3 linked regions of the Tribolium castaneum genome follow. The protein of the gene in region 1 interacts with the protein of each later gene in a pairwise test. Links are inferred from orthologs where the notes say so. Each region holds a gene or a part of one and is shown on either strand. Other genes may lie near its edges. The genes, in order: dnaJ protein homolog 1, Mlf and BAG family molecular chaperone regulator 2.

Region 1 (3,199 bases):
TTTTTTACAAAAATCGGCAATTTTTTAGGTTACATTCAAATACATTTTTAAACGACAACAAATCAACCAAAGTCAACGTTATGATGACAGTAGTTGTTCTCTGTTAACTATGCGTTAATTCTAAAAACCAAAATTCTAAAAATCCAAGTTTACTTTGAATTGTATAATGAGTTGCGTGTTTTCAATATTTAAGGCGGGAACAGATAAAATGGGCGCCCTGTAATAATAATTGCAAACCGATCATTAATTTGCATAATCATATTACTATTTTAAGTAAATCAATATAAAACGTTCTGGTGGTGTTCTGATGGAAAAGTTACAAGAAAATGGGTATAAAAACGTAAACAATTAAATTGAGTAGTCGCAAAAAGCAATCAATTGCAATGTAAAAATTAAAAACATTATGAATATTGTGGGATTTGTTATACACTTCGACCATATATCGATATATGTACGTCACCAATACGTCATAACCTGAGTATGCCTGTGTATGTCTGCGTATGGGACACTTACCTATAGTCAAAGGGTTCTGTTCTGGTTGTGCTACTAGTGACAGACGGATCAAGGGGATTCAAATGAAAGAAATTAAATTAGAAAAAATAATAAAAGAGTTTATTACTAATTCATAACAGATAAAATATCACACACGACGCTACTTTATAATACAATAAACATCATACAAGTCGATTAAATTAACAAAGCTTAAATTTAACTAATTTGTACTAAAACGTACAGCCTGACTTATTCAATTACATAAACAAACTGTTTAGTTAGGCAATGTATCGTACAAAATGTCCTTAGCAGATTGTGAAAGCCTCTCTGGAAACTTGATGTCAACATTGACAATGAGATCTCCTCTTCTGGAAGGTTCCTTGGGTAGGGGCAAGCCGTAACCTTGCAACCTCCTCACTGTTGTGGGTTTAACAACCTCGTTGGTGAAATGGATAGGGATTTTCTGGCCGGTTAGGGTTGGCACTTCAATCGAACACCCGCACAAAGCCTGCTTGAGCGTAATCTTAGCCACATATTTAATATCACTTCCCTCACGTTTGAACAAAGGATGCGACTTATCCCTGATGATAAACACAATATCCGCCGGGATTTTATTTGGCCCTTGGTCCCCTTCCCTGGGGAAGGTGATCTTAGTTCCCGCTTTCCACCCCGGCTTCACATTAATAGTCAAAACCTTGTCTTCGCTCCTCGTAGAGCCGTCCGCTTGCAACACCTTCCTGCTAATCTTCATCTTCTTCGTGCAGCCTTTGGCGATGTCCTCCAGCGAGACGTAGAGGTCGTGCTCGATAGCGGGGTCCTGCTTGTCTTTCCCGCGCTGGGGGCTGCCCTGGAAGTTGAAGGACTGGCTGCGGAAGGCGCCCCCAGGAGCCCTCCCACCCGTGATGTTAATAAACGGATCGGAGTCCATGTCGTCGTCTTGGTACGCAAACATGGTCTGATTGCCTCTGAAGAAGGCTTCGAAGGGGCTCGCATTGCCGAAGAACTGGGCGAAGGTGGCGCGCGGGTCTCCGTGGTAGGTGTAGGTGAAGCCCCCGGGGGCTGAGGTGCCAGAGTCGCCGGGGATGCCCCCCTTGAGGCCCTCCTCGCCGTAGGCGTCGTAGATGTCGCGTTTTTTCTTGTCGGAAAGAACTTCGTAAGCCTCGGCCACTTCCTTGAAGCGCTCTTCAGCCTCTTTGGACTTGTTCTTGTCCGGGTGGTATTTGAGGGCGAGTTTGCGGTAGGCTTTCTTGATCTCGTCGTCACTGGCTCCTTTTGATATGCCGAGGATTCGGTAATAGTCTTTTCCCATTTTCACTGCACTAATGTCACGAAAAGTCCACACAAACTTAAAATCACAAGCTTCTTCGAGAATAAATTAGTGTACACGTAGTGATTGTTCGTTTCGTATTGAGTGCGCGAGCGCTCGCGTCGATGCTTTATATAGGTTAGGAATTTCTAGAAGATTCTGGAATTGTCGCACCCCGCTGGAGGACGCGGCTGGAAATTTCTGGACTCAGCACGTGTCAGAAGGGATAAATTCAAAATTATCATGTTGAAAATTAAAAAAAGAAAAATATATTTTAATGATCAAAATTAATAAAGGAAGTTCTTTGTTACACGTCACATTAACATTCAAAATTTATAAAAAGGTGGTCGGATCCTTAAATAAAATACTGATGATTTCTATTTATAAGAAGTGTCTCAGTCTCACACAAAAATGAATTCTTATTTCTGCAGTTTTATTTGTGTTAAATGACTAATAACTATAGTGAGCAAGCCTTGTTAGTTTCTTTCCCAATTTACCAAAAATTATTTTACGGTATTTTTTCGCAAATTAAAAGAATTGTATTAGTAAATAATGACAAAAGTGTTCATTTCATTAGCTCCTTTTGTTTGAAATCATTAAATTACACTGTTAAAAGAATAATACGCTGCGTTAACCATCATTTTCCTGTTTAAAAATTAATAAAAGTTTATAATGAACGGTAAGTTCCAGAACCAAGTCTTCCAGTAATAAAAATTAGCACGTGCAAAAATGCGTCATCACACTCAACACCATCAGAATGTGAAAGCTTGTTTTGTTTTGCTTGTTTTTATACCATCGCCCCCCAAAGTTAGTGAGTGTATTACTGGTTGCATGATTACATAAAATCTATTTTCAGGAAAGAGTAATAAATAATAGATCTTGATAGTAAGATTCACCAAGTTCATCGCCTAAGCTTCCCAGGTTTTGTTAGGATACTTTCAACACTAACTAATAAAATATTTTTTTGGGCTTAATTTACAATCACCTGTTGATATTTTAAAGCAAATAAAATATTTAACAATTTGCTAATCACGTCAATAACGAATGCCAGAGACTCCCCAAAAAATTTATTCAAAACTTTTGAAAAATTAAAATTGACACAGATTGTTTCGTTTTTTGTACAGATTAGTGTCAGTTTTTTAACCCAAAAACCTTGTTTTTTACTTTTTAACTTTTTACTTTAAAATCTTGATGAAAACATTACAATTTCATCGTTTAAGTTTTCCAGGTTGGGAACAAAGGTTGTTCGGGCTTAATCTACATTCACTTGACAGAAACAACGAATGCCAAACTAGACACCAATAACAAATTTTTTAAACTTTTAGTGAATATATTAAGAAACTAGACGTGATAGACAAATGTGGCATATATTTTGTTATCAGCTTATGAACTTATCAGCTT
Region 2 (4,218 bases), on another chromosome or scaffold:
ATGGTAAAATTTGTTCGATGGTGAAATTTATTCCCTTTTTTTTCAGCTATAACCTGAAATTAGGACTTAAGTTAAGATTTTATTTCACTTATACAATTTAGCTTCACAAGAATTGTTCTGTAGCTTAAAAACTGCCATTATAATTCGGCTAGTTATCTTTTAAATATACATCTCAAATAAAAAATTCAAAAATTCAATTAATCTGTTTGAAGGAATTTGAAACTAGATCATTTATATTCTCCTTTTTTATTAAATTAAAATTATTAAAAAGTATGGTTTCTTTAACAAGTATCAGCTTAATGGTATAAAGTATTCCATTTCTGCGAACTAAATTCAAGAAAACATGATCTAAAATGATAAAAAATTAGCTCAAAAATCTAACTTTTAAAAAATATATCTCATGAAAAGGAACTTTTAGCTCTGATAGATCTCTTTTATTACTATCCAAGAGATGGCCTGATACTTTCGAACCACCTTGTACAAATCTTTTGTTTTACTTATAACTTACTTTGGTATATCGACAAGAAATAAGGTAAGTTATAATTTTATGTAAAATATACAAATAATAAAATAATATATACAATATACATACAAAAACTTTCTGTAATACATTTGATACTTTCTGAAATTAATCTAATACATTTACTTCATAGTTTTTTCTTCCCTTTCTTATTTTCAGTTCGAGTTTCGTACTAGCATTATTTTTGACCATTTTCCGTTTGTTTTTTTTTAGTTTTTTAAATTAGTGTAATAAATCTTTTATACGATACTGTACTCAGATTTTCAGGAAAGAAATCTAAGTATCCAAAAAATAATTTCTTAGACATGTTAAATAACATATCCCAGCTTCTAGCATAATTTCCTGGTAATTCTTATTTTTTTTATTTCTATCAGCTCAGGTCAAAACACAACAAATATTGTATTTTGAGAAATGTGTAGACCTTCATATTCGCAATATTTTTATGTGACGGAGGATTTAGTTGCACATCAGTGTGATCATATCAAGTAGTTTTTTAAAAGGGAATTTCAAAAACTCAAGAATGTTTCTAATTTGCTCAATTTTAGCGAAATATTTTGCTGTTATGAACTATGTAACTACGTAAAACAAAGAATCAATCGGAAAGGAAAAATCCGAAAAATCAGAGTAATTTCGATGTCACTAACGTTAGTATATTTTGCCTACTTTTAATTGCCTATAGTACTTGAAAGTACACCCTTAATTTCTTGTACTTGATTCAGTAAACCAAGCACTGAAATACTAAGATAATAAATAATATAAATAATAATAATAATATAAATAAATAATAATGAATTAATAAGAAAAAAATTGGTAACCAGAATATTTTTAGTTTAACCATCAACTGAAATACCGGGCCTATGTTTGGTAAACAGAGGTGTTATTTTCCAATTTTTAACACAAACTCACAAAGCTTAAAAATCTGCACGTACAGATCAATTTAATAATTTTTTTTTTTGAAAAATAAAAAATGATAATTAGTGACTCGAGACTTTAATTTCGATTTCACCATACTCATGCCATCTAGTGGTGAAACAAAATATTAAACATTTCTGTATCAACCATTTAGTTCGAATTATGAAAACTGTGGACGTAAGTCGCCCCCTTAAAGAATTTGTTCAATCTTGTCATTTAAATAAAATTGTCAAATCATAGGCAACAAAAATTCAATATTGGTTTTCGCTAAAATCAAAGTCTTGTAATTTTTTTGGATCAAATCAATAAGCCGCTATTGTCGAAATTCACCGAAAATTTTGCTGACCTACCTAGCCGACGCCTGTGGCACAGTTAACGGCGACGATCTTATACTTCTACGAGGCGAGACCATTGGGGTTGACTGTCTTTGCCGACGTCTACTACATGCGTACATTTAACACAACATTGAAACGAGGAAAAGTGCATCAAAGCGAGTGAACCAGCACCTTGTGCTACTAAATAACCAACAAAAAAATTTACCTAGGCCCTCCAGTGATCGCCAGCATGCCTCCTGGAGCCCCATACCCATGTCGGTTTCGCACAGACCCCGAACAAATCCTGGGAATCTCCGAACGACTCCTAGTCTTAGTCTCCCACTCTTTATTAAAATCCTCGGCCTCTTCCTCGTCCAAATTGATAAAATCCTGCCTTTCCTCACGGTCCCCAGTGTGCATATTCTGCTCCTTTTCTATGATGTGGGCCCGTTCGCCGATGTGGTGCCCGATGGCCATTTTCTTGGTCCCTGACCGTGTGTCAGTGACTGTCTTTTGGGTCTCTTTAATACCCCCAGGAGCTGTGCGCGTGCTCGACGTGGCTTTGTACACCTGGGGGCGGCCGTCGGGCCCCGAAGACATGCTAACCACGGTGCTGGAACTGTAACTGTGCGCCCCCAGGGAGTCCAACGAGCCGCTCAACAGCCGGTTGAAATTTGGCATAATTGGCATTGAAAAAGGCATAAGAGAGTTGCTCATGCGGTGACCGCGATCGAAATCACCGAAACCCATCGAAAAAGGGTCCGAGAAGAAGGAATTCATCATTGTGTTCATTTGGCGCATCATATTCATGTGAGATCTGGGAATTAAAATGAAAATTTTCGTTCAGATTTCTAGAACAGCATGGCGGATTGTTTATGGGGTTTTGGCGGCGATTTGCACGGCGCGACTGACGGAAACTCACCCGAAAAACGGATCCTCCTCAATATCGCCCATTAATGAGCCGAAGAGAGACATTTTCTGAAAGGTTTTAACACTTTTCTCAACAATAATTCACAAAACACTTTGCTAATGAACGACACTAGTGACACTTGGCGCGGGGAATGAAACGGCCGCCAGGCGGCGCTGCGGCGTTCGGAAAATCAAAGCCAGTAGATATACTAAAGTAGCGACACGGACCTTGACAGGGCAACAATAACGATTATACACTCTACAGATGGCTCCACTATCAAAATTCAAAAACGTACGTCAAAAATGTCAAGATTTTTTCACGTTTGAAAAATTGGTGAATCAGAACAATAAATTCGGTGATCGTCTATAATTTCACCCTGGTTATTACAGTTTATGTGTACAGATACCATGAAACCTTCAAACTTGTGCTTCACTCACGTAAAAATAAATCAGATCGTCCCTAAATTCAACTGAACATTGCAATGAGAAAGGCTTTTAGAATGCGCAGAATACAGCAACTCTTATGGACATTTCGAAGAAGGTGCTGGCGCTTCAACAGTGAATTCATTCCTTAAAAGAATTTGAACTTTGTATTTAACGAAAAAGCCAAAAACACGTTTCAAAATAATAATTGTTTGATTTAAAAAAATTGTGATACTTACATTTCTAATTTTAATAAACTCCTCTCTAAGTGTTTTTACAGTTTATCGTATTTAATTACTCCAAGATTTTAAATTGGTCGATTTATTTTTTTTTAATTAAATTTAATTTTTTCCCTCAACACTATTAACAACTGCTATGAAACCAAGACATTTTTCGCAATAATAAAAGTAAGTGTTTTCAATATTACCCGAGAGGTAAACCGCAGAGGAAATCAGTGTACAAAATTGAGTAAATCAAGAAATTTTAAGGAAATCACTTTAAAAATTTAGGGAAAAATCAGAAGGAATCATGATTAAATCACAGGTGTACAAAATTTGGGGTACGGTTTACACCTCGATATTACTTAAGAAATAGAAATAATACAACCTGAATTTCTCTTTATTATTTAAATTTTGTATAACATAGTTGCTGTAAATAAGTGGCTATAAAAAGTCCACCAAACTTCGATGCGCTACAATTCCCAGATTTAGATGCATTAAATTTTCTGAAACGAAGGTCAGTGTAAGCAGAGCGGTCTTAAATTCTTTCCCATTAGGGCGGAATCTAATAATTTAGAATGAATTTTCAAGGACGTATTGTTTAAATCTACCTGAAATACTTAATGAAAATTTGGTATCTTAGAAATTTCTCTTTGAAGTTGATACCTACCACTTTACATTTCTTAATCAAATTTTGTTTGAATGAGTTTCTAGTATTATTACACAGACGTGCTTCGTAATGTGGACGACTTTGAACAGTCTGGAGGCTCCTTTGTTTAATGTTTTTGGTGTCGATTTATTATTTACGTGATTGAAGCACAGGTTTGAAAGTTCCATGGAATCTGTTCATAACCAATAACCACAGTAAAACTACAGATGAACACCAGAATCATTGTACTCTTTACCAATTTTTCAAAAGTGA
Region 3 (3,036 bases), on another chromosome or scaffold:
GCGAGTAGGTTTTCCAATTTTTTTGTAAAACCCTGGACCAAACAATTAGAATTTGCGAACCAATCGGACCTTGAGAGAAATTTTAAAATTGAGAAAACGTCGTGATTAATGCATTTTGAAGGAGCCTTTGGTGGCAAGACTAGTTGCATCATACGATGTGGACCAATTTTTGTCCGATTCCGGGTGTGGCGCTGCAGATGTAGCAAAATACAACTGCTTTGTGCATATTGTTGGTGGGAAAGACGGCACAGTTTTGACCCCGTCTAATTACTTTTTCCCTTCAAAATTTAAGGAAGCTAAACTTAAAAACTCCAATGTTGAGGTAATTTTTCCGGGGGATTAACCGATAAGAGCTTTAGCTTTGTTTTAGATTATTTCAGTTGATATGATTGACGCGAAAGGCTTGCGCTTCCACGTGTGGGTGAAAGCCGACGCCCCTAGTCTTTTCGTTTGGTTGGACCCGCACGATATTAAAGGCCACTTTCTTGAAAACGGTTTTATTCAACACTCTCTTGTTACAACAGTCACTTTTATAGCAGATTCACCAACAACAAGCGAAGATTTGAAACAAGCGCTTACAGTGACTCATCTAAGAGACCCTAAGTATTTTATTTCACGGAAATAAGTAATACATGAATTAATAATTTTATTTAATTCATCAATTATAAATAAAGTGTCTTTTAAACAATCACAGTGGCTATTTTAAGTTAACACGACTGTGTTGTATTAAAGCCGTAATGAAGACAACTCAATTGGTTAAATACTAACGATTTAATGTGTATATAATGGCAATAAGCGGGCCACAATCAATAACAACGCACTATTAAGTAAGTTTATGGAATCGAAGTTACATTAAGTTTATCAAAGTAATTTAACAAACCTTGAAGCCGTTTCTTTACCCGTTTTTGGTCGTCAACGGTACATCCTAACAAAGCCGATTCGAACTTTTTATCCGTGATCCCGTGCACCACATTCGAAGAACAAGCATTCATGAAGGTTATACATCTAGCTTTTGCACTTTCAGGATCCGATTTCACACACATTACAAGACTGTCTATCAAATGATTCACTTGGTGCAAGGCTTCTTCTTGCATCTTATCACGCTGAGTTAAAATCTTCACTTCCACCGTGAGGCAGCGGCTCATGATGCGCTCAGCGTACTGGCAAACATCATCCCTATCATCTTACAAATAATTAATTACGAACGACTTTTACTTTTGGTATACTTACTATCCGGTAAGTCGACTATTAAATCAGTGTTTCTAACCGAGTCCAGGGATGACAACAAGTGGTCCCGGTCCTCCTCCAACTGCGCCGCTTCCCTCCGCAACTTCTCAACATGACTTTCTAAGATATCTAACAGTTCTAAAACCCGCTCTTTGGGCGATTTGGGATCCACGGTGTTGTTTTCATCGATCCTTGGCAATCCTGAGTACGTCAGATCCATTAAGAAGCCTGAAACTCGGGCTGTTAGTCAAACACAAAAATTTTGACATAACCTAAAAACATATTGATAAGAAGGATTTATTACCGGATGAAGTACTCGGAGATGGATCTATGTCCATTCTGTTGCAGCTATCGTTGCTGGTTGACGCCAGTTTATCTAATAATTTTAAATCAATTTGATTCAGCACAGGAACAACTCATTGGTCATTTGATTCAAAATCTAGAAAGTTCCATTACTCCTTAGTCCCACTAGTTCGAAACCGCCTCGAAAAACGCAATCAATACAATAAAAAACGCCCCAAAACACCATAAATCTGCTTAATTGTACTTTCATTACCATTATTCAATGTTTATCGCTATTAATTCGCGGCTTTTAACGCATTTTTTTAAACCGAATGGCCATTTGTTCAAAGAGACAAATGGTCCAGCGAAATGATGCAAAAAACCTTAAATTAACATTTATTTTAAAATATAGAATATACATATTTACAAGTTGATTGCACTGAGAAATGGCACGAGAAGTGCTTGTTCCAAATAAATTGAGCAAATAATAAAAACGACAGGTACTTATTTAAACTAAAATCTAACACTTGATCTTAAATAGGCGTTTGTGAATAACTTAATACAAAAGATTATACAAAGTGGTGCTCTTTCCTGTGCTCACCCTTGCATGGGCACTGAATATCACTCAATACTGCGTTAGCAGGTCTTGCGTTTCCTGGACGAGGACGCTAAACGCGGGCCGCTCGTGGGGGTCCGCGTGCCAACACGGATATATAATCCGTATATAGACAGCTTGTGGGCACATTGGAGGACACGGAAATCTATAAAAGGCAACGATAAAACCAACGAAGTCAGCAACGGACCAATACCTGGCCCCGCTCTCCAAGGCGTTCAAGAGAACTTGCTGCTCTTGACCTCTGACTTCCTCCTCTCCCAGATTCGACAATTTCGGCTCTTCGCCCCAGTTGAACATTTCGCACATTGTGACACCGTACGACCAAACGTCGGAACGCACGGAAAACTTGCCGTCTCGTAAACTTTCAGGCGCGTACCTAACAAGACCAAAGTAATTCAAGTCGTGATTTTTCGCTAATTACCATTTAATCGGCAATTCCCGGTTTGTTTTCAAGATGTAATAGTCATTAGTGCCAATGACTTGCGCTAAGCCAAAGTCGGAGATTTTGACGTGGTTTTCGTCAGCTACCAAAATATTCCGGGTGGCTAAGTCCCGATGGACGATGTTTTTCTTGCCCAAATAATTCATTCCCTAGTCAATAAAAAATGTTATTTGATAAGTTGGTTAAATAATAAGGCCACAAACCTCAGCAATGTCAAGCGCGAATTTCAACAACTGTTTAATTTGCAACGACTCTCGATTGATTTTCAAATAACTCTGCAAAGAGCCATGATGGACGAACTCCATGACTAGGGAAATATCCGGTTCCCGGGAAACCCCCAAAATTTCAACAATATTCCGGTGCTGCAAAGTCTTCATAATGTTAATTTCCCGTTCGAAGTCTTGCAAACACGCAGACACAGTTGACGATTTCAGTTTTTTGATTGCCACGATTCTCGGTTCAATTTCAG

What was found.
Region 2: the proteins of dnaJ protein homolog 1 (region 1) and Mlf interact in a two-hybrid assay, tested with the Drosophila melanogaster proteins (2 studies listed by BioGRID). The link is inferred for Tribolium castaneum from reciprocal best matches to the Drosophila melanogaster genes DnaJ-1 and Mlf.
Region 3: the proteins of dnaJ protein homolog 1 (region 1) and BAG family molecular chaperone regulator 2 interact in a two-hybrid assay, tested with the Drosophila melanogaster proteins (2 studies listed by BioGRID). The link is inferred for Tribolium castaneum from reciprocal best matches to the Drosophila melanogaster genes DnaJ-1 and CG7945.

The regions. Positions count from the first base shown.
Region 1 is NC_087398.1:15,603,609-15,606,807, reverse strand, and holds dnaJ protein homolog 1, read right to left. Parts: upstream 1,945-3,199; 5' UTR 1,802-1,944; coding exon 767-1,801; 3' UTR 591-766; downstream 1-590.
Region 2 is NC_087399.1:9,872,916-9,877,133, forward strand, and holds the start of Mlf (myeloid leukemia factor), read right to left. Parts: upstream 2,835-4,218; 5' UTR 2,722-2,834; coding exon 2,669-2,721; intron 2,564-2,668; coding exon 1,973-2,563; intron 1,873-1,972; coding exon of another isoform or gene 1,870-1,872; coding exon 1,783-1,869; intron 1-1,782.
Region 3 is NC_087396.1:11,144,845-11,147,880, forward strand, and holds BAG family molecular chaperone regulator 2, read right to left. Parts: upstream 1,748-3,036; 5' UTR 1,566-1,747; coding exon 1,532-1,565; intron 1,456-1,531; coding exon 1,231-1,455; intron 1,184-1,230; coding exon 834-1,183; 3' UTR 630-833; downstream 1-629. Other genes in the region: beta-mannosidase, read left to right, coding at 122-322, 371-625; hop (tyrosine-protein kinase hopscotch), read right to left, coding at 2,135-2,270, 2,319-2,501, 2,547-2,716, 2,771-3,036.